Linked DNA regions of Stegostoma tigrinum. The protein of the gene in region 2 interacts with the protein of the main gene of each other region in a pairwise test. Links are inferred from orthologs where the notes say so. Each region holds a gene or a part of one and is shown on either strand. Other genes may lie near its edges. The genes, in order: pop5, cep44, aquaporin FA-CHIP-like and txlna.

Region 1 (7,991 bases), on a different chromosome or scaffold from region 2:
TTGAAATTCTCCTCCTCTTCCCTCATTCAAGGACTGCTGGCAAGAATACCAGTCTAGCCCAGCTCAACTTTATTCATTCATGGGATGTGGGCAACTTCAGTAGAAGACGCCAGAGTGAGTTGGAAGTTGCACAATTTGTAACTCACTCGTTTCTTCCATTGAAGATTCCCATAAGGAGCGAGTTAGAAATTGCACAATTTCTCATTTCCACAAGTAGATGCTGGTTGTCCACTTGCAGATGTGCACATAATTGAATCTTTTTGTTTTGCACTTTTTCAAACAAACAATGAGATGTACTTTTTCACTGAAATCTGGTATTTAAATCCCTTCAATTTTGTTTTATTATTGTGGACCTTCCATTACAAACCTGCCAGGGATAATGAGCAACAACCAAGTCCAAAGTCACCATGTGCTCGAATGATTGCATCTTTAACTGTTTTATAGATATTCTTCTCCTCGATACAATGCCGAAACTGGGGATTCTCGAACACTATCTCGCATAGCAGGTACCTGTGAATAGAGCAATCCCATTTACTTGGGCATTTGATCGTGTTTTATTTCACGCAACTTTACATCATATTGGCTGACAGCTCATGACTACCGTCAAATCCAGTGCCCTTCCTTGACCATGAAGATTAACCAGACATTTACTTTGTTGGAGGGACACTGCTGACACAAAGCTAAGTTCCTCTAAAAGTTGCTTTTTCAGAATAATCAGCTGTATAAGCACAGGCAATAATGATGCATGCCAGATAGTCCAATTTTCTGAAGAATCATTTACTGATTAAATCAATTTGTGGTGCGATTTAAAGTGACTTATCATCAAGTGATCCATTGACTAATTTTGAAAGGCAGATGTTTAAAGAACTATCTAGGTCATTAGATCTAGGCATTCTGAGCTGTGATCATTCCCCACACTGAATAATCAGTTATTTTTAAAAAAACATCCATTCTTTAAGTCAGCTTGTGTGTGTAGACCAATGAGCCTCTTGCCTAGCAAGTAAGTGTGTACCAGGCTCTCTCCTTACAACTGATTAAGCCAGATCCACAGACACTAATTAGCATGACATTCACTTCATCTCCAAAGCCAGGTTACTGAAGGCCACGTTGTGGCAAAGAAAAACATGTCAGAAGGAAACAAAGCCACCTCAGCTTTGGCCTGGACCTTGTGATTGGGTTGGAAGTAATCCTTTCAGTCCTTAAGAACTTTAAATCAAAAGCAGAAATATCCAAATGCGCACATATCACTCACTTGCAGAAACAACCTTTCACAGCATTATCTTCTCTAGCCTGAAGGAGGCACTTGAGCAACAAGCTCGAGAGGAAATCCTGGCAGTTACTTTAAAGCAGAACAGAGAATGGGGTGAACAGCCTGCTCCCACACCTTATGGTCATGTGTAATTGTTACTCATAATTTAACCTTTAGGGGCTACCTATCATTCTCACATATCTGTCAGTCACAAATCTAACTCTTATCCTAAACAGAGTTTAGATTTTACAACGTGGCCCCAAGAACTGTTCACACAAAGAGCACAGAAACGGGCCATTTAGTCCCACTTGTCCATACCAAACCACAGTCCCAACCTAAGATGCCTATGTGTGGCCCATATCCCTCCAAACATTTCTTATTCATGTACTTATCTAAAATCTCAAACATTGCAACTGTATCCAAATCCACCACTTCTAGAAGTTCACCCACACATTAACTGCTGTTAAAAAAGTTGTCCCCCCCCATATCTTTTTAAAAATCTCTTTCCTCTCACCTTAAAAATATACCAGCACCCTAGCAAAAAGACACACCTTATCTATGCCCCTGATCATTTTAAAACTGTAGGAAGTCACCCCTAAACATCCTACACTCCAGGTGAAAGAATTCCAGCCTATCAGAAGTCTCCCTATAACTCAACGCTTCTTTTCCCAGCAACATTCTGGTAATTATTTTTTTTTGAACCCTCTCCAGCTCGAGAATACACTTTCTATAACAGAGCGACCAGAATTGGACGTAATGCACCAGAAAAGACAAGGCTTTTCTGGTAGACATTCGGATCTTGATATATTCAGCAAGCTCTTGGATACGTGAAAGCATTCGCCGATTCACAGGAGCATCTCTAGTGTTTCCACAGACTTTCTTTAAACACTACAAATTTTCAGAAATAATAAGCAATTCAAAGCACGTCAACATAAATTAAGAAAACAAAGCGTTAATTAGACATTCATGGGGCCTCGACTAATGTATTATAAAAGTGTTCTTGAAATCTAAAGTTGTTGGGCTCAGGCTTTTGAGATACAGGGGTCAGAGAACAGATGATATTAAACCTGGGAGGCTGGCTCTGATGGGGAGCCACGGACCCGAAATATCGACCTGCTACTTGACCCGTTGACATTTTCTGTTCTTCCCCTCGCCCCATAGACTTTGACTCATCAAGAGAGTTCAACGTGTCCATGCATCTTGTCAGTTTGTGGCATCGGACCCAAAATTCAACCCTCACCAGTGAGGCTCTCATCTGGCACAACAGAAACTTAGGTTCCTGAAAACACCCACCACCGGTCGGGAGCTGGGGAAGGGGCGGAGAGAAAGTGCAGCGAACAAAACGAACTGTCTCGAAAAAAAAGACACTGACGGGTCTAGGCCCAAAACGTCAGCTTTTGAGCTCCCGAGATGCTACTTGGCCTGCTGTGTTCATCCAGCCCCACACTTTGTTATCGTAGATTCTCCAGCATCTGCAGTTCCCATTATCTCTGAACACATTAAAGGTCTTTTTGTCACCTATTTTGTCTATTGTAGGGCTGTTACACCTCGTAATTAAAAAAAGTAGGTGGATAGCTAGTCACAGTTGAACTGTCCATGTTTCCCGTAAGAGCATCCCTCCCAGTTTAAAAGTGGAGCGGATCCAAATTACCTGGATTTGAAGCGAACCATTCTCACAGCTTCCTCCCCAGACACAGCACGGCGGCCCTACTCGATACAACGGAAATGTAACATCTCGCTGATTGACAAAGCAATCAGCCAATCATCACAGAGAAAAGGTTGCCGTCGGCATGATTTCACCAATAGACGCAAAGTAGAGGCGGGGCTCCCACGGAACTTCCGGGTATGGGCGGGGTCAATGCCTGCTGCTCCAGTATTAAGCAGCATTGAATGTAGCTGGTGTTGGGGCACGTGTGTTTTTTTTGGGGGTAGTTGGGACATGCACTGCTTGGACTGGAGATAGGCAGACAAATACTGTCTCACAAGAGACCTTCTGTTAGTATCTTAGAGTAGATATTTTTTAATCAACCTGCCCAAACCATTGCATTCAATGTGCAGGAAGGGATCCATAACATTTTTTCGTGTGTACAACTGCTGAGCAGCGACTTCTGTTCCACATTTAACAGTGAACAGCTTTGTACTACGCCACTGCTTGTCTGGTACATGGGTTGCTGTCTTCTTTCTGACAAAGCAGAGTAGCTTAGCAATATGGTATTAGACCTATGACGTGGTTGAACACCACGATGTCGAGGTGTCTATAAACGTAGGTATTTATTTATTTCAGAGATAGTAGGAACTGCAGATGCTGGAGAACCTGAGATAAAAAAAGGTGTAGAGCTGGATGAACACAGCAGGCCAAGTAGCATCGGAGGAGCAGGAAAGCTGATGTTTTGGGCCTGGACCCATCTTCAGATATGGGGTAGGGGGAAGGAGAGATTTTAAAGCTCGTGAAATCCACATTGATACCATTGGGCTGCAGGGTTTCCAAGCGGAATATGAGGTGCTGTTCCTGCAAGAACACCTATGCTTGGTTTGCACTAAACAACTGCACCTCCCAGTCGCAAACCATTTCCACTCCCCCTCCCATTCTTTAGATGACATGCCCATCATGGGCCTCGTGCAGTGCCACAACGATGCCACCTGAAGGTTGCGGAAACAGCACCTTATATTCCACTTGGGAACCCTGCAGCCCATTGGTATCAATGTGGACTTCACAAGCTTCAAAATCTCCTCTTTCACCCTACCGCATCCCAAAACCAGCCCAGCTCGTCCTTGCCTTCCTAACCTGTCCTTCCTCCCACCTATCTCCTCCTCACACCTCAAGCCCCATCCCCATCTCCTACCTACTAACCTCATCCTGTCCCCTTGACCTGTCTGTCCTCCCTGAACTGACTATCTCCTCCCCACCGACTCTCACCTCTACTGGCTCCATCCCCACCTCTTTGACCTGTCATCACCATCTTTCTTCTCTTTTATCCATCTTCTATCTGCCTTCCCCCCCACCTCCCTATTTATTTCAGAATCCTGCCCCTCCCCCCATTTCTGAAGAAGCGTCTCGGCCTGAAACATCAGCTCTCCTGCTCCTCTGATGCTGCTTGGCCTGATCCAGTTCTGCACCTTGTTATCTCTATTTATTTGCTTGATGTCTTATTTCTCCTGCAGGATTGAAACTGACTCTGCACAATAAATTCAGTCTTCATCTCTGATAGAATACTGAACAGTTAAAACATAATTGTACTACAAGGTGTCATCAAAGCACAATTCCATTTTTTAAAAAAAAGTGTGCTGAAAATTCTGGCAGGATCTTTTTGTGCTTAATAGATTATGATGAGGTACTGCTGAAATGGCATTGGAACTGATTGTATAAGAAGAAAACAATTGTGTTGCTTGCCCACCAATGCAGTAAAGATGAGTCAAAGCTCTTCTGTCTGTTTCCAGTGATGGACCATTTCTGCGGATGATCTGGGAGTGAATACACAAATATTTTGGGTATGAAATAAATCTCTAAGGCAGCAAAGATGAAATCTTGAGCTGCAAACAGCAGTTTAATGTGAGATACAGTGTTGGTAAAGAAATTGGAAGTTTGTGTGTGTGTGTGTGTGTGTGTGTGTGTGTGTCTGTGTGAGAGATGATTGGATGCCCAGATGATTAACAACTGCTCTTAAACTGCCAATTGTGTTTGTTAGTGAGGCTGCATGACATTTTAACAGTAAGAATGTGAAATAAAGGAGTAAGAGTCAATCAGGCAGCAAACTGACCTCTCAGTCAATGTGAATGTGGCTAATCTTAAGTTTCAAACTCCACCTTTGTCCACTCCCCATTTCCCACAGTTCACTGAAGCACCAATATATTTCTCTACCTCAACCTTAAATATAGAAATGATGATGTACCACATTTCTCTGAAGTTGAGAATCCCAAAGGTTCACCCTTTGAGTGAAGAATTGTCTCCTCATTTCAGTTCTAATGTTAGCCCCTTAACCTGAAACTATGCCCTCCTGTTCTAGATTTCCCAGATAGGAGAAACAATGTTTCAGTGGGGTCCTCTTGTGGCAAAGTGTTAGCGTCCTTTCCAAGAGGCCCAAGTTCCAGTCCAACCTGCTCCAGAAGTGTACAATAACATGTCTGAGCAGGTTGATTGGGAAAAATAGATTAAACAAATTTGTTAAAAAAAATTAACATCTCAGTATATATCCTATGAGACCCCTTCATCATCCTGAATATTTCAATGAGATCACCTTGCATTCTTTTAAATCCCAGGAATTGTAAGCATTATTTACTCAGACTCGTCCCACGGACCGATTTAGTAAACCTTCGCAGCGTTGCCTCTAATCAAGTGATTCCTTCCTTTGGAAACTAAAATAGTACAATATTACCGAAGCTCTGTACCACTGTAAAATGACACCTTTACTCTTAAACTTCAAACACTTTACCATTGTTATAAAGGTCAACACATCATTTCTTTCCCTAATTGATGGCTGTACCAGAATTCTAACTGCATGTTCCTTGAATGAGTACACCCAAGTTTCTCTGAACTTCAACATATACAAGTTTCACCCCATTTCATGGCCTACTTACGGCTTGCATTCCCAGTTAACATTATATCATCAGCAAGAACAAGAGAGTCATGTATTTAAGTTATTAATAGCAAGTGAACTAACTCTGTTTCTTAATAGCAAGCCACTGAGTAGGAGTAAACCAGTTGCAAAGAATTTCAAATGCTATTTAGAGCCATTTATATTCACTTACTATTGAGCGTTTGAAGAGGTCGCTTGAAGTGTGTCAAGAGAGTTTCCAGGAGGGTCCAGTCTGGGAAATGGTTCAGACCTGATACGTCAGCTTTCCTGCTCCTCTGATGCTGCCTGGCTTGCTGTGCTCATCCAGCTCCACACCTTGTTATCTAAAAGAGTTTCCAAGGTGCTTTTATCAAATCTTCAATATGCTGTTAATATTTGGAAATTCTTTGAAGAATTCACTGAAAGCACGGGAATATCTGGGCAATAGTGACCTTAATATAATGATAGAAGAAGAGATAGGTATAGTGAAAGCCAGATTAGTAGAAGAGAGAAAAGCTGATTTTGAGGGGCTGAGAATGGAACTTGGTAAAATAAAAAGGACAATTATGTTGGCAAATGATGCAGAACAACACTAGGAAACATTAACAAAAGTGTTCAACAGAGTTGAACTGAGAAAATATATTTTACTGAAACCAAGGACAAACTAAACATGACTGTGACTCTGGATAAATGACAATGTAAGAGAACGGATGAAAATATTGAAAAAGGCATCCCTTAGTGATGGAGACAGGGCCCTCTTGGGTGTAGAGATAGTGCCCTGACTCCTGAACCGAGAGACCTGGGTTCAAGTCCCACTTGCTCCAGAGGTGTGTATAAACATCTCTCAACAGGTTGATTAGGGAAAATGGGTTAAACATATAGACAGCAGAGTGGTGCAAGATAAATCAGAAATGGGTTGTGGTAGGAAATTCAGAAGGCAGATATGAACTATTAAATTATCAAAGAGCATGAAATAAGAGTTAAAAAACATTAACAAGTTATTTAGATAACAAGGTGTAGAGCTGGATGAACACAGCAGGCCAAGCAGCATCTTAGAAGCAGAAAAGCTGACGTTTCGGGCCTAGACCCTTCTTCAGAAATGGGGGAGGGTAAGAGGGTTCTGGAATAAATAGGGAAAGAAGGGGTGGCAGATAGAAGATGGGTAGAGGAGAAGATAGGTGGAGAGGAGACAGACAGGTCAAAGAGGTGGGGTTGGAACTAGTAAAGGTGAGAGGAGGTGGGGAGGTAGGGAGGGGATAGGTCGGTCTGGGGAGGACGGACAGGTCAAGGGGGCGGGATAAGGTTAGTAGGTAGGAGATGGGGGTGGGGCTTGAGGTGGGAGGAGGGGATAGGTGGGAGGAAGGACAGGTTAGGGAGGCGGGGACGAGCTGGGCTGGTTTTGGCATGCAGTGGGGGAAGGGAAGATTTTGAAGCTTGTGAAGTCCACATTGATACCATTGGGCTGCAGGGTTCCCAAGTGGAATATGAGTTGCTGTTCCTGCAACCTTCGGGTGGCATCGTTGTGGCACTGAAGGAGGACCATGATGGACATGTCGTCTAAGGAATGGGAGGAGGAGTTGAAATGGTTCGCGACTGGGAGGTGCAGCTGTTTAGTGCAAACCAAGTGTAGGTGTTCTGCAAAGCGATCCCCAAGCCTCCGTTTGGTTTTCCCGATGTAGAGGAGGCCACAACGAGAACAGCGGATGCAGTATACCACATTATCAGATGTGCAGGTGAACATCTGCTTGATGTGGAAAGTCTTCTTAGGGCCTGGAATGGGGGTGAGGGGGGAGGTCTCCCTGACCACTGTCTTCTTTATATCATCAGATTCACAAGCTTAGATATTTACAGGGGATTCCAGTCCAGTTTGTAATGTATTTCTCCCTTTGAAGTCCATCCGTTTAATCCTTCCTTGACCCTTCATTAGGTGTCATGTTATATGATCTCTCTGTCTCTTTCTGTCTCTCACTGTATCCAAACAGTCACTGAATTTAGAGATAATGGGAACTGCAGATGCTGGAGATTCCAAGATAATAAAATGTGAGGCTGGATGAACACAGCAGGCCAAGCAGCATCTCAGGAGCACAAAAGCTGACGTTTCGGGCCTAGACCCTTCATCAGAGCTGAATTTATATGGGCTGTAATCTTGGCTGTATCTGTCCTGTTTTAAACATAAATGTTGGACTTGA
Region 2 (7,870 bases):
CACTTGATGTTTCATTATGGTCATCTTTAATCTGCATAAAGATTGCGCAAATCAAAATAGTAACAATATCATACAGGAGGAATTCCTGGATGGTATATAGGATGGTTTTCTGGACCAATATATTAAGGACCTAACAGAAAACATCCTGATATTATCCAATGAAAAAGGAATAATTGGCAATCTAGCTGTCCGAGGCCCCATGTGGCTGAATGACCACAATAAATTTGTGTTCTTTATCAAAATAGAGAGTGATGTAGTTGATTTTGGTTCTCGGGTCCAGAAGCTAAATAGAGAAAATTATGATAGTAAAAGGCATGAGGTTGCTGTGACATTAGATTGAAGACGTTGCTTAAAAGGGTGAGGGCGGTAAAGCAACAGCAAATATAAACAAACCATATGGGTGAACTGCAACTGTTATTCATTCATATCTGTTGCAAAAGTAAAATGGGAAAGGTGGCCAAATCATGGTTTACAAAGGAAATTACAGGTAGCATTAGATCCAAAGACAAGACAAAAATTGGCCAGAGACCTCAGGTTTGGGAGCATTTAGAATTCAGCAAACGAGGGCACAGGGATTGATTCAGAAAGGGAAAATAGGGTTTGAGATGAGCTTGTGGGGAATATAAAAACTAACTATAAACGTTTCTATAGTTATTTGAAGAGAAGAGAAAAGATAAGTGAAGACAACCATATCTCACTTACAATAAGAAACAGTGGGATTCATAATGGAGGACAAGGAAACGGCTGATCAACTAAAAACAGTCTGTTTTCACAAAGGAAGACAGAGTATAGCATCAACCAGAAATGCTGGGAAACACAGATTAATGAGGGAGAAAGTGAAGGAAATTAGTACTAGTAGGGAAATGGTGTTGCAGAAATTGATGATTAAAAGCAGATAAAATCCCAGGATCCGATATTCTATATCCCAGAGTACATATGGAAGTGGCCTTGGAAAGAGTGAATGCATTGGTGGTCATCTTCCAAAATTCTATAGACTATGTAACAGGTTGTACAGATTAGAGGGTAGCTAAGATAATTCTCCTGTTCAAAAAGGAAGACAAAGGGAAATCAGGATTAATGGGCCAATCAGTCTGACGTTGGTCATGGCGAAGTGTTAGATTCCACCACAAAAATCACAATAGATGAACACTTTGAAAACAGTGACAGGATCATACAACATTGATTTACGAAAAGGAAATCATGCTTGACATATTTGGGATTTTTTGAGAATGTGACTCTTGAATTGATGAAGGGGAGCCAATGGAGGTGTTTTATTTGGACTTTCAGGAGGTAATCAACAAAGAGTCATATGGACTCGAAACATTAGTTTCCTTTATCTCCATGGATGCTGCCTGACCTGCTATGATTTCCAGCACTTTTTGTTTTCAGTGATTAAAGCAGTACTTTTCTTCCCTTTTTAAGACAGTCTCTCAGTATTGAAGATTACTTGTTCCCATTCTCGCTCAAATGGTTTCTGCAATAGTTTGTCGGAGTTTGCAAATTCATGCACATGTTTGCAATAAAGCATCAATATGTTTGATGACAACTCGAATGAACAATCAGCATTTGGTTTGATTCAAGAGATTATGGGAGTGGGAAAATGGGGTTGGAGAGCAGGACTTTGATTCAGGAGCAATAGAGACTAAGGCAGCTGACGGAGTGGCATTGGATAATGGAGCTATGATCAGAAAGCATGAGGGGCTGGGGGAGATAGGGAAATAGAGTTAGATAGCAGTATTTGACAACGGACGTGGGAAATTCAGTTAGAAATCGGGGCTGTTATCTGAGGATATGAGGAAATGGGATCAGAGAGCAGGGCTCGGACCCAGGGAAACAGGGTTACAAGTCAGGGTTCGAATTGTGTCAGAGGGCAGACTCTATACAGGAAGAGACAAAGTTGTGTTACAGGACAAGACTGATAGAGAGACAATGAAGAATGTAAAAGATGTGGAAATGGGGTTACAGAACAGGGCCTTGCCCTGGGAATGGGGAAATAGAGTCGGACGGCAGGGAGCTACCCTGAAGATGGGGGGTCAGGAAGAAGAATTAAAGCCCTGGGAGATGGAATCAAAGAGTCGGGGGCAGCTGGGGTCTCACTCTAGAGTGGGGTGGGGCAAAGTTAAACTGATTAGGGTCAGTATGACGGAGGCTATGGTTATAGGCAGTCAGGGCACCATGGTGAGTGTTGAGGATAACCTGAACCGGGCACTGGGTTTATCGGTAAGCTGACCGAACTCTCTCACCTGCCGGCCTGGCTTTCGTCTTCCCCGACTCGACTTTGAAGTTGTTATCGAACGGTCCGTGGGTTGCTAGATCAGTCCAACGTGCGCTTCTTAGGGGAGCAGTAGGTCGGTTTGAATTTGATTGACAGGTTTCTCTCTCTCTCTGTATCCCCGCGGGTCTGCAGCGGGCGCCTCGCGCGCTCGGTTTGAATTTGATTGACAGGTTTCCCCCTAACGGCCTCCTGGCTGCTTTCCTCACCGTTCCGGCTTCTTCTCCGTCTGCCAGTCGATCCATTAGCTCTCCGTTCCGCCCCGCATATTCGCCAGCGTACAACGTCTCTGTCTCTCTCTCTCTCTCTCTCTCGCTCTCGGTTTTAGACAGAGGCAACAGCCGTTCTTTCTTAAAAAAAAACACGGTTCTTCCTCCTCTCCTCGCAATTAACAAAAACGACCTGTTACACTTTGCCGATATTGGAGGATGCCTTTTTTTCCCTCCATTGATGGAATCTGCCCCTGCGTCTTCAAAAATAGGGATCTCACTATGGCACCAAGTTGCATTTATAGCCAACATTCAATGCCAACATAGCCAGCGACAAGGAATCTCATAGGAAAATAAACGTGGTCAAAAAGTTAATCCTGAAGGCGATGCGGAGACAGGAATCTGGCATATTAATACACAAATCACTGAATGTGGATTGAGAAAATGGTTAATAAAGCTCAGCAGATCCTTAACACTTTACCTGACCAATATATTCGGTCATCTGCCCTTTTCGAATGGAAAAAAAAACTGCGAATGCTGGAGATTGGAAACGTAAAGAGAAATTGCTGGGAAAAACTCAGGTCTGGCAGTATCTGGGAAGAAAGCAGAGTGAACGATTCACGCCGAAACTTGCATTTTTATAGCACCTTCTGTCAAGAATTTGTCAAGATTGCTTTACAGCCAATGACGTTATTTTTGGAGTGGAGTCATTGTTGCAATTTCAGGAGTGTGGAAGTAATTTGTTCACAATAGTTCTACAAACAGCAATATGATAATACACGAATAGAGCTATACAGCATTGGAAAGACCCTTCGGTCCAACTCATCCATGACAGGCAGATATCCTGAATTAATCTAGTCCCAGTTGCCAGTATTTGACCATATGTCGCTAAACCCTTTGTGTACCCATCCAGATGCCTTTTAAATGTTGCAATTGAACCAGCCACCACCACTTCCTCTGGCAGTTCAGTCCAGACATGTACCATCCTCTACATGAAAAAATTGCTGATTAGGTTCCTTTTAGATCCTTTGCAACTCACCTTAAATCTTTGCCCTCTAGTTTTGGACCACCCAACGCTGTGGAAAATACCTTAGCTCTTCACCCTATCTATGCCCCTCATGACTTCATAAACTTCTTTGAGGTCACCTCTCAACCTCCTATGCTCTAGGGACAACAGTCCCAGCCTATTCAGCCTCAACCCATAGCTCAAAGCCTCCATCCCTGGCAACATGCTTCTAAATATTTTCTGGATCCTTCCAAGTTTCACAACAGCCTTCCTATAGCAGGGAGACCAGAATTGAACTCATTATTCCAAAGTGTCCTAAGTAATATCCTATAAAGCCACAACATGACGTCCCAACTCCCATACTCAATGCACTGACCAGTAAAGGCAAGCATACCAAATGCCTTTTTCATTATCCAGTCTACCTGCAACTCTGCCTTCAAGGAACTAGGAGTAGGCACTAAGATAGCAAGCTGTAGAGCTAGATGAACACAGCAGGCCAAGCAGCATTAGAGGAGCAGGAAGGCTGATGTTTCGGGCTGAGACTCTTCTTCAGAAATGGGGAAGAGGAAGGGGGTTCTGAAGTAATTAGGGAGAGGCAGATAGAAGATGGATAGTTGTTTCGTGCGAACTGAGTGTAGGTGTTCCTTGGAGGCTTGGGGACCGCTTTGCAGAACACCTACACTTGATTCACACTAAACAACTGCACCTCCCAGTCGCGAACCATTTCAACTCCCCCTCCCATTCTTCAGACAACGTGTCCATCCTGGGCCTCCTGCAGTGCCACAACGATGCCACCCGAAGGTTGCAGGAACAGCACCTCATATTCCACTTGGGAACCCTGCAGCCCAATGGTACCAATAGGGACTTCACAAGCTTCAAAGTCTCCCCTCCCCCTACTGCAACCCAAATCCAGCACAGCTTGTCCCCGCCTTCCTCCCACCTATCCCCTCCTCCCACCTCCAACTCCTACCTACTAACCTCATCCCGACCCCTTGACCTGTTCATCCTCCCTGGACTGACCTATGTCCTCCCTACCTCCCCACCTACACTCACCTTTACTGGCTCCATCCTCACCTCTTTGACCTGTCTGTCTCCTCTCCACCTATCTTCTCTATCCGTCCCTCCCTCTCTCCCTACTTATTTCAGAACCCCCTTCCCCAGCCCATTTTTGAAGAAGGGTCTAGGCCCGAAATATCAGCCTTCCTGCTCCTCTGATGCTGCTTGGCCTGCTGTGTTCATCCAGCTCTACACCTTGTTATCTCAGATTCTCCAGTGCCTGCAGTTCCTACTATCTATGAATATGCACTCCAAGGTTTCTTTGCTCAGCAACACTCCGTAGGACCTATTAAGTGTATAAGTTCTCCCTTGATTTGACTTTCTAAAATTCAGCACCTTGGCCCACCAGCCCATCAAGGCCCTGTTGTATTCTGAAGGAACCTTTGGACAAATGATCTTTTTAGTGATGTTAATTTTGGATTAAAATGCCTGAGGCACTAGGAGTAAGGTCCCAGAGATAATGGGAACTGCAGATGTTGGAGAATCCGAGATAACAAAGTGTGAAGCTGGATGAACACAACAGGCCAAGCAGCATCTTAGGAGCACAAAAGCTGACGTTTCGGGCGTAGACCCTTCATCATTGAGGGGGATGGGGAGAGGGTTCTGAAATAAATAGGGAGAGAGGGGGAGGCGGACCAAAAATGGATAGAGGAGAAGATAAGTGGAGAGGAGAGTATAGGTGGGGAGGTAGGGAGGCGATAGGTTAGTCTGGGAAGGACGGACAAGTCAAGGAGGCGGGATGAGGTTAATAGGTAGGAAATGAAAGTGCAGCTTGAGGTGGGAGGAAGGTATAGGTGAGAGGAAGAACAGGTTAGGGAGGCGGGGACAATCTGGGCTGGAGTAAGTCGCCCACTCCTTTTCAAAATACTGTTAATACTTCAAAAAACACCTTTACCGGCTCCATCCCCGCCTCTTTGACCTGTCTGTCTCCTCTCCGCCTATCTTCTCCTCTATCCATCTTCTATCCGCCTCTCTCTCTCTCCCTATTTGTTTCAGAACCTCCTTCCCTGCCCCCATTTCTGAAGAAGGGTCTAGGCTGAAATTCTCCTGCTCCTCTGATGCTGCTTGGCCTGCTATGTCAATCCAGCTCTACACCTTGTTATCTCATCTTTAACATCAATCTCATTAGAGTCATACAGGACAGAAAAGGTCCTTTGGCCCCTTGAGTCTGCACTGACAAAAACATTACATGAATGCAAATCTTAGTTAAAAATGCAGTCCCTGAAAATTTTGTATTCGAGGGTTAAATAAATATTTAGAATTTCAATTCGCACGTCTCAAGATCCAGGGTCAGAATTCAGAACAAGTTGAAGTGAGGACTCCAGGGCACTTTATTTTACACAGAGTTCTTATCTATGGATGTTGCAGGCCTGATTTCAGCTGGGTTAATCTCAGTAAGGGCAAACTGAGACTCTTAACTGGCCCCTAATTATCCACTCTAGGGGCCTCAATTAACAATGGCATGGACAAGTCTACCATGGACATTCCCACCTTGAACCTAATCCCAATGAAGGAACATGGAATGTCATGTTTGTATTTGGTACCGTGGAAACAAATTGAATGATCTCATCAACTTCAAGCTCACCACCTCCAGAAGACAAGACTTTATCCAATGTTTATGGCCTGTGCCTTGAAACTTTTCCACTCCACAGACGTACCTCGACCTTCTGAGTATTTCCAACATTTTTTATTTTGTGTTCTGCATATCTAGTGCCTGCTTAGGATTGGTGGTGAATCATTTTCACTCATTGCGCAATGAGTGCACAAATGCACCCAGAGGGAGTAGGCAGTCGGTTTCATAATAAAAAAACGTACAGAGAACTACATAACCAGAAAATTATTCATTCGCGGGATGTGCATGTCCCTGGCAAAGCCACCATTTATTGCCCATCCGTTATTGCTTCTCAGAACATGATGGTGGTAATTATTTGGATGAGAGTATAGAAGGCATGGTTAGTAAGTTTGTGGATTACATCAAAATTCGTGCCTAATAGATGTTGAAAAAGGTTTTCTAAGATTACAAAGGGAACTCGATCAAACAGGTCAATGGGATGAAAAATGGCAGATGGATTTCAATCTGGCGAAATGTAATGTATATGAATTTTGGTACAAAAAATAAAGGTAGGGCTTATACAATTAATGGTGGGGTCTTGGATAGTGTTGTAGAACAGAGGGATCTAGGCATTCAGGTACGTAATTCTTTGAAGTTTGCGTCACATATAGACAGGGTGGTTAAAAGGCTTTTGGCACACATGCCTTCATCGCTCAGTCCTTTGATTTGGGAAGTTACTTTGAGCTTGTATAGGACATTGATGAGGCTTCTTCTGGAATATTGCGCCCAATTTGCAGTTTTTTAGATTGCCAAGCCAGTTTTCTGTGGTGTACAGACATTTCATTACCATAGGCAACATCATCAGTTCAGCCTCTCATCGAAGCATTGGTGTTCTGCTTCTTTCTGGATTTATATGATCTTCTGATGTGATGATCTTGTCACTGCCAGTTCTGTTGTTTTAGCAGCGGTCTGTATTTGGGGTTTATTTCTATGTGTTTGTTAATGGAGTCCCATGTTGAGAATCAGACTTCCAGAAGTTCCTTTCCATGTCTGCTGTTCGCTTGTACCCATATGGTCACTTTGTCCTAGTTGATCTGATGGTCCTCACTGTATTGAGACAGATCATTATTCGTTGTATCTTTTTACTGCTAGCTAGTGTCCATTTATGCTGGTCATCAGTTTCTTCCCTGTTTGTCCAACATAATGTTTTTTGCACTCGCTGCATGGTCTTCTGTGTATCACATTGGTCTTATTTACTGTCAGTATGGGGTCTTTACAGATCAGTGGCACACCGATTGGATCACCTATCTCAGGTCTCATCGCGGAAGCAGTGATGCAGAGATTGGAACACACAGTCCTTCCTAAAATCTAACTGAAAATGTGGATAAAATACATGGACAGCCCATTTGTAATAATCAAACACACAAAAGTAGAAGAAGCCCACCGACTTGTTAACATCTTTGCAAACATAAATTTTGTAAGAGAGAAAGGAAACAACAAACAGCCCCCGTTCTTAGATGTAATGGTAGAGACATTGACAAACAGCAAATTCTGGTCCCAACTATACAGGAAGGCCACATACACAAACCAGATCCTTAACTTCAATAGCAACCACCCTAACATTCACAAACAGAGCTGCATCAAGACACTATTTAAACAAGCTGCATCACACTGCAACACCCCAACACTCCAGAAAATGGAAGAGGAACACCCACACAAAGTTTTCACCGACAATGGTTACCCAAGAGGTTTTGTCAGGTGATGCCTACAAAACA
Region 3 (7,908 bases), on a different chromosome or scaffold from region 2:
GTAAAACCTTCCTATTCATGTACCCATCCAGATGCCTTTTAAATGTTGTAACTGTACCGGCCTCCACCACTTCCTCTGGCAGCTCATTCCATACACACACCACCCTCTGTGTGAAAAAGGTTACATCTTAGGTCCCTTTTAAATCTTTCCCCTCTCACCTTAAACCTATACCCTCTAGTTTTGAACTCCCCTGCCCCTGGGGATAAGACCTTGTCTATTTGCCTTAGTCTCTAGAAATATATTTAATTCTTTAATGTATGGAGTGTGGTAGAGAATTCCTCAGGTTCACCAGCACCTGAGCGGGGACATTTCTCATCATCTCAGTCAGAAATAGCAGATTTCGACCCATGAAGAATTTTTGTTTCTGAATTACCTGCACTGAGACAAGTAGTCAGTTCCCAAATTATTAATTACATTTGTTAATTACTTGAATTTAATTTCCACCAGCTGCCATGTCCGGATTTGAATCTGTCCTCAGATATCACGCTAGGCTACCAACACTGTGTGTTGCTTGCAGTAGTGGTCCCGGAGATTAATCTATGACGGGAACAAAAACGAAGTTGCTGGAAAAGCTCAGCAGGTCTGGCAGCATCTGTGGAGGAGAAAACAGAGTTAACGTTTCGGGTCCAGTGACCCTTCCTCAGAACTTGGCAACTCAGAACAGAGGAAGAGTCACCTACTCTCTGATGAGGGGTCTCGGCCCGAAACGTCAGCTTTTGTGCTCCTGAGATGCTGCTTGGCCTGCTGTGTTCATCCAGTTTCACACTTTGTTATCTTGAAACATTAACTCTGTTTTCTCCTTCACAGATGCTGCCAGACCTGCTGAGCTTTTCCAGCAACTTTGTTTTTGTTCCTGATTTACAGCATCCGCAGTTCTTTTGGTTTTTATTAATCTATGACTGTTGTAGACTCCAAGATAATACTGGACTTGAATTGAGTCTGTAATGAATGACTTACACAGAGAGGCAGTCTCACTACTTTAATACCAGTTTGAGATCCTCCAACATCTTCCCAACACCTACCTTGTCAAGCCCTCTTAGAATTTTGTATGTTTTCTTCCTCATTCTTCCAAATGCTAATGACTCAAAGCCTAACTGTTAAGCTGTTCTTGATAAGTCAACCCCTTCATCTCAGGAAACAGTCTTGTGAATCTCTCTCAGGCAGCTTTCAATGCTGGTTTATCCTTTCCTAAATACAGGGTCCAAACTGTACACAGTGCCACGTCTCACTAATACGATCTCCAGTTGTAACAGGACTTCTCTCAATTTAAACTCTAACCGTCTGGCAATAAAGGACAAAATTCCATTTACCTTCTTCATGACCTGCTATACTTCCGTGTTTAACCTGTTGTGATACATTCACAAGAACACCCAGATCCCACTGCGCTGCAGCTTTCTTGAGTCTCCCTCCACTGAAAAAATCATCTGTCTTTTGAATATCTGCATCATGACCTCACACAGAAATAGGGTTGCTTGCCTTGGAGAAGACTGAATGGGGAGATGGTTGTGACATATAAAACTATAAGGTACATAAACAGGAAGAAATGTTACCTCTTGACTGAGGGATCAGTGATCGGGGGGCATCAACCCACCAAGGATGGTGAGAATCTGGAACTCAGTGCCTATTGTGGAAGCAGAAATCCTCATAACATTGAGGATTTATTTAGGTGTGCACTTTCAATACCAAGGCTTGCAGGGCTACGGGCCAAATGCTGGAAAATGGGATTGGAATGGTTAGGTGGTTGTTTCAGCCCAGACTAGATTATCCAATGGGCCCTCTTTAACTGCTGAGCTTTTCCGGCAATTTCTGTTTGTGTATTGCACAGCCTATCCTTCTTCTAAGTCACTAATATAGATCATAAATAAAGAGCATAAAACTCTCTCTAACCTGAGAAAGACCCACTAATCCTGACTCTGTCTTTTATGACAAGGTGTGGAGCGGGATGAACACAGCAGGCCAAACAGCATCTTAGGGGCACAACATCTGACGTTTCGGGCCTAGACCCTTTATAAGAAAACCTTTTTCTGGTGAAGGGTCTAGGCCCGAAACGTCAGCTTTTGTGCTCCTGGGATGCTGCTTGGCCTGCTGTGTTCATCCAGCTCCACACTTTATTATCTTGGAATTCTCCAGCATCTGCAGTTCCCATTATCTCTGTCTTTTATGTTTTAACCTATCCCAAATCCATGCTGATATGTTACCCCTAATGCCACAAGCTCCTATCTTGTGCAGCGACCTTTATGTGGCACTTTATCAAATGCTTTTTAGAAAGACAATCTACTAGCTTCCCTTCATTAGCTCTGCTTGTTTTATCCTCAAGGAACTAAAACAATCTTGTCAAACATGATTTCCCTTTCACAGAATCATGTCAATCATGTCTGATCACATTAAGCTCTTCTAAATGTCATGCTATTTCTTCCTGAATAATGGACTTGGCATTTTCTCAGTGACACCTAATTAGCCCATAATTTCCTACTTTCTGTCTCGCTCCCTTCTTGAACGGGTGGGTCACATGACCAGTGATCTAACAGCTGGAAATCCCCGTTTCCCCCCCCCACCCAAGAATGCGGAGTGTTCGGGAATATTGTGACCAATGCCTTCACTACCTCTGCAGTCCCTTCTTTTAAAACCCTTGGATGAAGGCTGTCAGGACCTGGGCACCTGTCTAATCAGTTTGTTATATTTCTGTTCATAGTGATAGACATGGTTTCAAAATCTTTCCACCCATTCGCACTTTGCTTATGAGTTGTTTATATTGGCCTCTACTGTGAAGACCAATGCAAAATGTTCGTTTATCTGCTGTTTTTCTGTTCCCCATTATTAATTTATATAATCCATGGGTCTTACGCCTACTTTAGCTACTCCCTTTCTTTTTGTACACCCTTAGAGGCTATTTTTATATTTCTTAAAAATTTATTTTGTAATCAACTTCCCCCTTCTTACCTTCTTTAGGAACTAGCAGAGGTTGACTCAAAAAAATTAATTGCCTGTCCTATCACAAATTTTCACTGCGTTGTATGCTTTAGATTTCGATTGGGCACTATTTTTGAATTTTTTTTAACGATGGGTGTTTCAATCTTCTCATCAGAGTCCTCTTTTTCACTGGAAAAAATATTTGCTGAGCATTGTACAAATATCTCATCTTCTCAACCACTGACCATTTCTTTGTCTATTTTTGCAGCATGCTTTAGATAATTCTGTAATTGCCTGCTTTTGAGATGAGGATACTGGGTTGAGACCAGACTTGCTCTCCATCAAACTGAATTATGAAATTCTCCCAGGCTTTGATCACTATGCCCTATAGAATCCTTAACCACAGGTCTCGTACTTATCCTACCACATTACTAGATCTGACAGAGCCTGTTCCCAGGGTAGCTTCTTCAACATTCTGCTCCAAGCAAAAAATCAATGTTGCATTTCAGATATGTGAATATGATAGCAACGTTTAAGAGGCATTTAGACAGACACAAGCATGGAATAGGGGGATGGGGTCACATGTAGACAGGTGGGATTAGTCTATCCATGCCAATCCATGTCTGTGCACAGCCAGATCCCATAGAAGTGCTGCAGATTGAACTGCTGCTTCTGTTGCTTGAAAGGTAAACACTGGGCCGGGAGAGCATGAAGATTGGGATGGGGTAGATAGTGCAAAAGAACAGTGCGTTGAGTATAGGAATTGGGAGGGCACGTAGCAGCTGTACAGGACAATGGTTAAGCCTCTTTTGGAATACTGTGTTCAGTTGTGGTCTCCCTGCTTTGTGAAGGATGTTGTTAAACTTGAAAGGGTTCAGAAAAGATTTACATGGATGTTGTCAAATTGGAGAGTTTGAGTTGTAGGGAGAAGCCAAATGGGGCTGGAGCTATTCTCCCTGGAGCATTGTAGGCTTAGGGGTGGTGTCATAAAGGTTCATAAAATCATGAGAGGTAAATAGCCAGTGTCTTTTCCCCAGGGTGGGGGGAGTCCAAAACTAGAGGGGCATAAGTTTAAGGTGAGAGGGGAAATACTTAAAAGGGACCTCAGGGGTAACTTTTTCACACAGAGGGTGGTGTGTGTATGGAACGAGTTGCCCGAGGAAGTGGTGGAGGCTGGTACAGTGACAACATTTAAAAGGCATCTGGATGGGTACGTGGGTGGCACGGTGGCTCAGTGGTTAGCACTGCTGCCTCACAGTGCCAGGGACCTCGATTCACTTCCACCCTCGGGTGACTGTCTGTGTGGAGTTCACACGTTTTCCCCGTGTCCGCGTGGGTTTCCTCCCATTGTCCAAAGATGTACAGGTTAGGGTGGACTGGCCATGCTAAGGTGCCTGCAATGGTCAGAGATGTGCAGAGTTGGTGGGTTGGCCATGGGGAATGGGCCGTTACAGGGAAATGGGTTTGGGTGGGATGCTCTTTGGAGGAATGATGAGAACTCGAAGGGCTGAATGGCCTGCTTCCACAGTGTAGGGGTCCTATGTTTCAATCAATAGGAAGGGTTTAGAGGGATATGCAGGCAAATGGGACTAGATGAATTTTGGTTATCTGGTCCGGACGGACGAGTTGGACCGAAGGGTCTGTTTCTGTGCTTGAGTGACTCCAGAGCACCAGTGGAGTCCGAACAGCAAGAAGTGTCACTGAACTAAAACGAAAAACTCTGCTCCTCTCTCTCCACGGATGCTGCCAGGCTTGCTGAGTTTCTCCAGCAATCTCCTTGGGTCTGTTTCAGAATTGCTAGCAATGCCGGAGACGGCGCAGTCCCTCTTGCTGGGAACAGCCTCGCCAGCGTGCAATGTTCGAGAGCAGCACTTAGAAACGCCTTTTCGTCGCCACCCCCAGGAGACCTCCTCTATAAAACTGCCTCGCCTGATCCACTTCCAAACTAAACTTTGCTTTGCATCTGCGCGCACGGTTTTGGGGGTGAGGGGTGGGAAATAAGGGTGGATTTAAAAAGGAGGGTGGTTGGGTGGGGGCTTGGTGGCAGAAGAGTTTGAGCCCTTTCCTGGGTGATTTTGGGGCACATTGAGGATGGTCAGGGAGTTACAGCGCCGCTCCTTTTGGAAGGCAGTGCTGGCCGAATTCCTGGGAATGACCATCTTTGTTTTCCTGAGCACTGGCTCGGCCACCAAGTGGACCCCCAGAGGATACCCAGCCGACATCGTGCAGATCTCCCTGACCTTCGGCTTGACCATTGCCACCATGGCGCAGAGCATCGGGCACTTGAGCGGGGGGCACCTGAACCCAGCGGTGACCCTGGGGCTGTTAGCCGGCTGCCAGGTCAGTTTGCTGCGGGCTATCCTCTACATCGCCTCGCAGCTCCTGGGCTCGGTAGCCGCCAGCGCTCTGCTTCTGGGGCTCACCCCCTCATCCAGGAACAGCACCCTCGGACTCAACGCTGTAAGTACCTTACCCTTCTTAAAGCGGTAAATAGCACCCTGGGAGCTGGTGGGGACCACAGAAAGAGAGAGAGAGAGAGAGACAGGGGCTGGGCTGGAGAGTCTCTCGTTGTCGTAATGTTGCTCTCTTAACTTACTTAATTGGATGCAGTGTATTTTCTTTATTCACTTAGCTGGGCTACTATTCACTGCCTGTCCCTAGTTGCCTTTGAGAATCACACAATCCTTATAGGGCAGAAAGAGACTGTTCACCCCATCAAGTCCACACCGTTCCTCCAAAGAGCATCTCATTCAGACTCTACCCTATCCCTATAACGTCTAAGCCACTCATCATTTGGCTTGCTAAGATAACCACCATTCACAGAATCCCCGCAGTCTGGGAGCAGGCCATTTGGCCTATCGAGTCCACACTGACCCACCCCTGTAATACTGCATTTCCCATGGCTAATCCACCCAGTCTACACATCCCTGAACACTATGGACCATTTAGCGTGGCCAATCCATCCTGACCTGCACGTCTTTGGTCTGTGAGAGGAAACCCATGCAGACACAGAGAGAAAGTGCAAACTCCACACAGACAGTCGCCCGAGGGTGGAACTGAACCCGGGTCCCTGACGCTGTGAGACAGCAGTGCTAACTGCTGAGCCATCGTGCCACCCTAAGAAGGGCATGCTGAGCTGCCTTTCTGAACTGCTGCAATCCTGAGGGAGGGAGTTTCATTCTGGAGATGACGGGCTGGACTCATAAAAAGCAATTGGGCAGATTTGAAACTTGGAGAGTCAATATCGAAGGTGGTGGTGGGGGGTGTGTGGGGTGTCATTTTGAGGTGAAGGGAATGGGATTTGAGGAATAGCTGTGGTGGGGATGTGGGACGCACTGTGTTGGAGAGGAGATGAGGCAGGAGACTTCACAACCTTTACAAACTTCTTGGATGAGCGCTTAAAATGTTTTAACTTTTAAGGCTAGGGGCCGAGGACGAGAAAGCAGGATTAGTGTAGTCTGGTTTGTGCAGACTCACTGGGGTCAGGGGCATCTTGTGTACTGCATGACTATGAGTTTAGGCTGATATTCCGTGGAATTTAGCAGAAATGAGAGGAAATCTAACTGAGGTAAGTAAGATGCCAAAGGGGATTGAAAAATGTCAATGTAGAGAGGATGTTCTCTCATTTGGGGCAATCTGGAACAAGAGCTCAAGATTTTAGGATAAAAGCTAGCAAATTCAAAACAGAAACACAGACAAATTACTTCTCTCAGAGATTTGATTGATTTATTTATTGTCACAAAATACAGTGAAAAGTTTTGTTTACGAGCGATACAGGCAGTTCATAGTAAACAAAGGATGTACAGATCAAAAAGGTGTAGGCTCACAGATTACATTGCATAAGGGCGTGCCCTAGGCGAGATCAATGTTAGCAAGATCAAGCTTTATTTGAGACTAAAGGGTCATGAATCTGTGGAATTCACTCCCCCAGGGTGTGGTGGATGTTGTGGGGTTGAGTACATTGGAGGAAGACAAAGACATATTCCTAACCAATAATGGGTTGAAGGGTTAAGGAGAGCGGGCAGGAAAGTAGAGGTGACGTTGAGATGAGATCAGCCATGATTCTGTGAAATGGTGGAGCAGGGTCGAGGGGCTGAATGGCCTACTCCTGCTCCGGGTTCTTACGTCCTGAACAAAATCCTCTCGGCTCACAGCTTTAAAATGGGGAACTTAAAATATCTTGAACTTGTGGGCCCCACCATGAATCATGGAATTGTTAACAGTGCAGAAGGAGGCCATTCGGCCCGCTGTGCTGACACTCGCTCTTCAGAAAAGCTCCATTACCTTGAGCCAATCTACCGCCTTTTCCTCGCACACCATTTCCCTTCAAATAATCGTCTTGCCCCCAGGGTTGCTTCAGTTGAATTTCTGTTAAGATTGCATCAAGAAGGAGGGAGAGAGGAAGAGGTTGGGGGGGAGGGGGGAAGAGATGGGATGTGGTGGCGAGGGGGGGGGGGGGGGTGGTGGTGAACTGATGACCGACAGTGCCAGATAATACCGTTATTCTATCAACACGCGGATTTAGCCATGGGTTTTAAAGTTGGACATTGCCCTTTTAAGAAAAGAAACGTGATTCTATCGAACGGTACCTGTAGCCGAAGAAAGTGGAGAATTTGTTCGATATTTGCAACAATGGTTTTTGCGGACTTTGCATCAAAGTAACTCCATTGCATAAACATTTATTAAAGAAAGGGGAACTACTGAGAATCTGACGTGTGGTCGGTACAGTGCTGTTTGGAACCACCTCCTCTGAAGCATCGCTTGTCAAACGGAGCAGCCGGGCCAGTGCTTTGAAAGATATCTTCCACAAAATAAAACCCTTGCCGGTTTTGCCAGTTGACCCTGCAACTTCATTCCCCCAGATACTTGTAACCTCAGCCTGTCAATCTCAGGAACCCCACCCCGTCCCTGTATGAGGTGGAAGTTTAAGGCAGGATTCACCATGTTACGCTGTTACATAAATACCATTTAACATTCAGATGTAGATGCTAATCTACA
Region 4 (7,662 bases), on a different chromosome or scaffold from region 2:
ACGCTGAATAGCAGCAGTGTCTACCATCACAAAATGCACTGCAGAAACTCTCAAAAGACCCTAGAAGCACCTTCTAAGCCCACAACCACTTCCATCTACAAGGATAAGAGCAGCAGATACACGGTAACACCACCACCTGAAAGCTCCCCACCAAGTCCTCAACATCCTGACTTGGATATATATCACAGCTCCTTATCTGTCGTTGGGTCAAAATCCTGGAATTTCCTCCCTGATGGCATTATGCTGTCGGTTGACCCATATGAACTGCAGTAATTCAAGAAGGCAGCTCACTACCACCTTCTCAAAGACAACTAGGGATAGACATTAAATGCTGGCCAGCCAGTGACATTCACATCCCAATAATGAATAAAAAGGATTTAGCTAAGGGAACTAAATGTAATATCACCAAATTTTCAGATGACAAAAAACTTAGTAAGAAGGATAACTGCAAGGAGACTGCAGATATGTTTTCTATTTCTTGTTCTGAAGAGTCACTGCACCTGAAATATTTTACTTTGTTTTCTTTTTGCAGATTTTGCCAGGCCTGCTGAGTTTTTCCAGCAATTTCTATTTTTGTCCGAGATTCCTGCTCCCGATGTGGATGACAGCAGAGCAATGGGAAGCTGGAGCAAACTACCATGGCAAGGAGGAACAAGGTGCCATTCAGGATGGAGCAGAAGAGAGAAATGTCATTATAATCAGGGGAACAGACAGTTCTGTGGTCCGATCTAGAGTTCAAGAGGTTGTGTAATCTGCCTGGTGCCCAGGCGCGTGTGTGCGCGCGCGCGTGCGCGTGTGTTTGTGCGCGTGCGCTTGTGCGTGTGCGCGTGCGCTTGTGCGTGTGCGCGTGCGCTTGTGCGTGTGCGTGTGCGCTTGTGCGTGTGCGTGTGCGCGTGTGTTTGTGCGTGTGCGCGTGTGTGTTTGTGCGTGTGCGCGTGTGTGTTTGTGTGTGTGCGCGTGTGTGTTTGTGTGTGTGCGCGTGTGTGTTTGTGTGTGTGCGCGTGTGTGTTTGTGTGTGTGCGCGTGTGTTTGTGTGTGTGCGCGTGTTTGTGTGTGGGGGGGCGTGGAGGAAGAGGAATCCAGTTGTCATGGGCCATGTAGGTATCAATTATATAGGAAGAAAGAGGACAGAAGTTCTGCTGAGGGAATATAAACAGATAAAGGGATAAATTGATTAGCAGAACCAAAACGATAATAATCTCTGGATTACTACCTGACCCATAAACCAATTGACATAGGGTCAACAAAATTCAAGAGGAAACACGAACCTCAAAGATTAGCCCAGGAGAAATGGGTGCAAATTCATGGGACCGTGGCACCAGTGCTGGGGAAGGAGGAAGCTGTTCTGTTAGGATGGGCTCCACCTGAACCATGCTAGGACCAAAGTCCTGGTGAATCACCCAACTAGGGCTGTGGATAGAACTAAACTAAAAAATGCAGGAATAAGTTAAAGTGGGGGGGGGGGTGGTGGAATTTGTCAGCCAAGGTTATTAATTGTTCTGAAAACTTTAAAAGGACAGAGTACAGAAAGGGTCAATAATCTAACTTCAGGCACAGCAGATAAGGATGGGAGCCAGTCAACATAGGACTAAAGGTTTTATATTTAAACACACACAGTGCACAAAACAAAGTCAATGAGCCGGTGGTGCAGATTGAAACTGGCAGGTACCCGAGACACATCTGCAAGGAGATCAGGGCTGAGAACCAAATACCCAAAGATATGTATCCTATTGAAAGGACAAACAGATTGCCAGAAGGGGTGAGGTTGCCTTGGTAGTAAGAAATGAAATTAAATTGATAGCAAAAAGTCATATAAAAGAATCGCAAAGTAGAATCCAGGTAGAGCTGCAGAACTGCAAAGGATAAATGACTGATGGGAGTTACCTACAGGCCTCCTAGCAGTAGTCAGGATATAGGAGAGAAAATAAGGCCATGTGATACATGGAGGTTTGGGGGGGGGGGGTCGTGGAGGGAAGAGACCTGATTGAAACTTACGGAATACTGATAAACCTGGATAGAGTTGACTTGAAAAAGGCATTTCCACTAGTAGGAGAATCTAGGATCTGAGGGCAGGCTCAGATTTAAGGGATGACCCTTTGGAACTGAGATGAGGAATTTTTTTCAGCTGGACAATGATGAATCTGTGGAATTTATTGACACCAGCCGAATGGGTGGTGTTAAGACAGAGACAGCTGAGTTCAAGAGTTACGCGGAAAATACAGGAATGATTGAATGGTGGAGCAGATGTGATGGGCCGAATGCGCATTCTGCTCCTATATCTTAGTCTTGTTATTAGCTAGGAGTATTCATCCAAAATCGTGCCCAAGACGACTGCACGGGGAGAGATAATGGTCGGTAAATCCCATATTTTGTGGGTGGAATGAACTCGATTAATCGAAATGTCCCAAAGGTGTCAGTTACAACCCGTTTGCTGAAAATCAACATATTAATCATATATGCCAAATTGTTACAGACATCAAGGCTGATTTATAGAGAAAGAATTATCTACCGAAAAACCAAGAGTTTAACCTGAAAACTCAGCAGCATTTACCGACGCGAGTTTCAGGGTCAGATTGTTCCGTACAAACACAAATCCCTTTTCAGTGGATATGAACCAAACAGGAGTTTTCAGGACAGCCCGGGAGGCACATATTTCCACATTGTGACGGCGCGGATGCGCAACAAACAGGAAAATCAGCCTCAACCGCGCCGCACGTTGTCGATCCCGGGGCAAAACTCGGCGTTAGCTCGGGATCAGCGCTAAAGTGCGCATCAGATACGGCCTGGGCCCGGCTCAAAACTCCAAGTAAACCCCGGCGTTAACCACGGTCTCGGTTAACAGCTTTGGGCCTCCGTGAGGTAAATCAGAGACGGGGGAGGAAGTCCACCGCACACTCACCCTCCCACACACAAGGTACACCACGGATCCGCGACTTTCCTCAGGTTCCAGCGACGCGACCACTCAGTCCGTCCGGATTCGCACCCGCACTAACCGGAAGTGCGCCGGCGTCTTCCTAACAGCATCACCAGTGACCGCCAGGCGAATAACCAATCGGCTTTCAGAAGAGTGCTTCCGGCTATGCGTGGAAGTTGTCGCGCAGACCTTCGGGTAATGTAGATTGGCAGGTACCTAGTTTTGAGGGAATCGATTGTTCCCAAAATGCACTTTGACCAGAAACAAAAATATTCTGAAAGGTGTAGCACAGACAGTAGGAACTGCCGCTGCTGGAGAATCTGAGATAACCAGGTGTAGTGTCAGAGATGATGGAGAATTCCAAGATAATAAAATGTGAGGCTGGATGAACACAGCAGGCCAAGCAGCATCTCAGGAGCACAAAAGCTGACGTTTCGGGCCTAGACCCTTCATCAGAGAGGGGGATGGGGAGAGGGAACTGGAATAAATAGGGAGAGAGGGGGAGGCGGACCGAAGATGGAGAGTAAAGAAGATAGGTGGGGAGGAGAGTATAGGTGGGGAGGTAGGGAGGGGATAGGTCAGTCCAGGGAAGACGGACAGGTCAAGGAGGTGGGATGAGGTTAGTAGGTAGCTGGGGGTGCGGCTTGGGGTGGGAGGAAGGGATGGGTGAGAGGAAGAACAGGTTAGGGAGGCAGAGACAGGTTGGACTGGTTTTGGGATGCAGTGGGTGGGGGGGAAGAGCTGGGCTGGTTGTGTGGTGCAGTGGGGGAAGGGGACGAACTGGGCTGGTTTAGGGATGCAGTTGGGGAAGGGGAGATTTTGAAACTGGTGAAGTCCATATTGATACCATTCGGCTGCAGGGTTCACAAGCGGAATATGAGTTGCTGGTCCTGCAACCTTCGGGTGGCATCATTGTGGCACTGCAGGAGGCCCATGATGGACATGTCATCAAGAGAATGGGAGGGGGAGTGGAAATGGTTTGCGACTGGGAGGTGCAGTTGTTTGTTGCGAACTGAGCGGAGGTGTTCTGCAAAGCGGTCTCCAAGCCTCCGCTTGGTTTCCCCAATATAGAGGAAGCCGCACCGGGTACAGTGGATGCAGTATACCACATTGGCAGATGTGCAGGTGAACCTCTGCTTAATGTGGAATGTCATCTTGGGTCCTGGGATGGGGGTGAGGGAGGAGGTGTGGGGACAAGTGTAGCATTTCCTGCGGTTGCAGGGGAAGGTGCCGGGTGTGATGGGGTTGGAGGGCAGTGTGGAGCGAACAAAGGAGTCACGGAGAGAGTGGTCTCTCCGGAAAGCAGACAGGGGTGGGGATGGAAAAATGTCTTGGGTGGTGGGGTCGGATTGTAAATGGCGGAAGTGTCGGAGGATGATGCGTTGTATCCGGAGGTTGGTAGGGTGGTTTTCAAGCCCACCGACTCCCACAGCTACCTAGAATACACCTCCTCCCACCCACCCTCCTGCAAAAATTCCATCCCCTCTGCCCAATTCCTCCGCCTCCGCCGCATCTGCTCCCACGATAAGACATTCCACTCCCGCACATCCCAGATGTCCAAGTTCTTTAAGGACCGCAACTTTCCCCCCACAGTGATCGAGAACGCCCTTGACCGCGTCTCCCGTATTTCCCGCAACACATCCCTCACACCCCGCCCCCGCCACAACCGCCCTAAGAGGATCCCCCTTGTTCTCACACACTACCCTACCAACCTCCGGATACAACGCATCATCCTCTGACACTTCCGCCATTTACAATCCGACCCCACCACCCAAGACATTTTTCCATCCCCACCCCTGTCTGCTTTCCGGAGAGACCACTCTCTCCGTGACTCCCTTGTTCGCTCCACACTGCCCTCCAACCCCACCACACCCGGCACCTTCCCCTGCAACCGCAGGAAATGCTACACTTGTCCCCACACCTCCTCCCTCACCCCTATCCCAGGCCCCAAGATGACATTCCACATTAAGCAGAGGTTCACCTGCACATCTGCCAATGTGGTATACTGCATCCACTGTACCCGGTGCGGCTTCCTCTACATTGGGGAAACGAAGCGGAGGCTTGGGGACCGCTTTGCAGAACACTTCTGCTCAGTTCGCAACAAACAACTGCACCTCCCAGTCGCAAACCATTTCCACTCCCCCTCCCATTCTCTTGATGACATGTCCATCATGGGCCTCCTGCACTGCCACAATGATGCCACCCGAAGGTTGTAGGAACAGCAACTCATATTCCGCCTGGGAACCCTGCAGCCATATGGTATCAATGTGGACTTCACCAGTTTCAAAATCTCCCCTTCCCCTACTGCATCCCTAAACCAGCCCAGTTCGTCCCCTCCCCCCACTGCACCACACAACCAGCCCAGCTCTTCCCCCCCCACCCACTGCATCCCAAAACCAGTCCAACCTGTCTCTGCCTCCCGAACCGGTTCTTCCTCTCACCCATCCCTTCCTCCCACCCCAAGCCGCACCCCCATCTACCTACTAACCTCATCCCACCTCCTTGACCTGTCCGTCTTCCCTGGACTGACCTATCCCCTCCCTACCTCCTCACCAAACCTCTCTCCACCTATCTTCTTTACTCTCCATCTTCGGTCCGCCTCCCCCTCTCTCCCTATTTATTCCAGTTCCCTCACCCCATCCCCCTCTCTGATGAAGGGTCTAGGCCCGAAACGTCAGCTTTTGTGCTCCTGAGATGCTGCTTGGCCTGCTGTGTTCATCCATGTCCACACCTTGTTACATTCTGAAAGGTCACTGGATCAGAAATGTTAACTCTGTATCTCTGTCCATAGATAAGGTTCACTAACAGTTTCTGTTATTGTTTCCGACTTCAAACAATTACAGTTTTTTTCAGTCAGAAGCTGGGAAGGTGCGGCTAGGACTCGAGGTTGCGGCTAAAGGGGAAGGATCCAGTGAATGGGTGGGGGGGGCTGGGCAAAAGCCGGACGGGAGAAGGGGTGGAGCGACAGAGGGGGCGGGGCGCGAAGGGGGTGGGGCTCCAACATAATACTTTGCCTTCAGGGTGAAGGGACATTTTGTTCCCTGCCTGTAAGCTGCGTGTTCGCCTCAGTCAGGTTCCCTCTCCAGCTTTCTGTGCTCTAAAGAAAACATCCCCTTGTGTCTGAGATAATGGGAACTGCAGATGCTGGAGAATCCAAGACAACAAAACTGTGGAGCTAAATGAACACAGCAGGACAAGCAGCATCTTAGGAGCACAAAAGCTGACAGTAATCAAGCTGTAGCTAAACCAACATTGTATACACCTCCTTCAGCTTGTATTCAACGCAGACATTAATAAACGCAATGTAGGAACAAATTATTGCAGTTGCTGAAATCCATGCTGAGCAAAAATGTTGGAGATCACAACTGGTTGGGTAGCATCCATGGAGAGAGAAAATAACCTAATATTTTAAGTGTGAGGCCTTGTTTAGAACCTGGCTGTGTATCAATTTGGAGTCAGATGATGTTATTTCTAAAGCAGGAATTTATAAAATACAATACGGATTGTCTGCAATTTCTGTGCTTTTTGAGCAAAAAAAATGTATCTACAATTATAAATGTGCAAGTGCAAATCAGAGGCTGATAGCTATGTTCAGTGTCCACGAGGACAGCCTCAACCGGGATCTTGGGTACATTTCACACTACAAGTGACCCCAACACACTATACTCTATATATACACACACACACACACACACACACACACACACACACAAAAAAAATCACATACACACAATCACATACTCACACAGACAATCACATAAACACACACATGCACAATCACATACATGCACAGAAGATCACATACACACATATACACAATTACACACCCAATCTCACACACAAAATCACATACCCACACACAATCACATACCCACACAGACAATCACATACACACACACAATTACATACACAAACACGCACATGCAGAAAATCACATACACACACAATCACACGCACATGCAGTTACACACAATCACATACACACATAATCACATACACACACACACAATCACACACACAAACACAATGTTCTATGTTCTATACACAATCTCTCTCACACACACACACTCAATCACATACACACACAACCACATACATACACACAATCACACAGACAATCACATACACGCACACAAACACACAATCACATAAACATACACACGCACACAGATAATTACATAGATATATACACACACACACGCACACGCACAGACAATCACATACACACATACACAGTTCTATACAGTTGTATAGGACTTTGATTCAACCATATTTAGAATACTGCATACAGTTCTGGTCGCCACATTACCAAAAGGATGTGGATGCTTTGGAGAAGGTGCAGAAGGGAGGTTCACCAGGATGTTGCCTGGTATGGAGGTCACTAGCTATGAAGAGAGATTGAGTAGATTAGGACTATTCACATTAGAAAGACAGAGGTTGAGGGGGCCCTGATTGAGGTCTACAAAAACATGAGGGGTATAGACAGGGTGGATAGCAAGAAGCTTTTTCCCCAGAGTGGGGGATTCAATTACTGGGGTCACGATTTCAAGGTGAGAGGGGAAAACCTGAAGGGAGACATGCGTGGAAAGTTCTTTACACAGAGGGTGGTGGGTGCCAGGAACGTGTTGCCAGCGGAGGTGGTAGAGGCGGGCATGATAGCGTCATTTAAGATGTATCTAGACAGATTCATGAATCATACACACACTATCACATACATACACACACAATCACACACACAAACATAATCA

What was found.
Region 1: the proteins of cep44 (region 2) and pop5 interact in binary tests that used the Homo sapiens proteins (3 or more experiments, as listed by UniProt). The two-hybrid records come from large-scale screens. The link is inferred for Stegostoma tigrinum from reciprocal best matches to the Homo sapiens genes CEP44 and POP5.
Region 3: the proteins of cep44 (region 2) and aquaporin FA-CHIP-like interact in binary tests that used the Homo sapiens proteins (3 or more experiments, as listed by UniProt). The link is inferred for Stegostoma tigrinum from reciprocal best matches to the Homo sapiens genes CEP44 and AQP1.
Region 4: the proteins of cep44 (region 2) and txlna interact in binary tests that used the Homo sapiens proteins (3 or more experiments, as listed by UniProt). The two-hybrid records come from large-scale screens. The link is inferred for Stegostoma tigrinum from reciprocal best matches to the Homo sapiens genes CEP44 and TXLNA.

What each region holds. Positions count from the first base shown.
Region 1 is NC_081379.1:39,187,465-39,195,455, reverse strand, and holds the start of pop5 (ribonuclease P/MRP protein subunit POP5), read right to left. Parts: upstream 3,009-7,991; 5' UTR 2,921-3,008; coding exon 2,901-2,920; intron 511-2,900; coding exon 368-510; intron 1-367. UniProt on the Homo sapiens protein: Component of ribonuclease P, a protein complex that generates mature tRNA molecules by cleaving their 5'-ends. Also a component of the MRP ribonuclease complex, which cleaves pre-rRNA sequences.
Region 2 is NC_081356.1:123,312,486-123,320,355, forward strand, and holds the start of cep44 (centrosomal protein of 44 kDa), read right to left. Parts: upstream 3,008-7,870; 5' UTR 2,244-3,007; intron 1-2,243. UniProt on the Homo sapiens protein: Centriole-enriched microtubule-binding protein involved in centriole biogenesis. In collaboration with CEP295 and POC1B, is required for the centriole-to-centrosome conversion by ensuring the formation of bona fide centriole wall.
Region 3 is NC_081355.1:152,719,390-152,727,297, reverse strand, and holds the start of aquaporin FA-CHIP-like, read left to right. Parts: upstream 1-4,891; 5' UTR 4,892-5,001; coding exon 5,002-5,370; intron 5,371-7,908. UniProt on the Homo sapiens protein: Forms a water channel that facilitates the transport of water across cell membranes, playing a crucial role in water homeostasis in various tissues.
Region 4 is NC_081377.1:47,670,310-47,677,971, forward strand, and holds the start of txlna (alpha-taxilin), read right to left. Parts: upstream 3,013-7,662; 5' UTR 2,900-3,012; intron 1-2,899. UniProt on the Homo sapiens protein: May be involved in intracellular vesicle traffic and potentially in calcium-dependent exocytosis in neuroendocrine cells.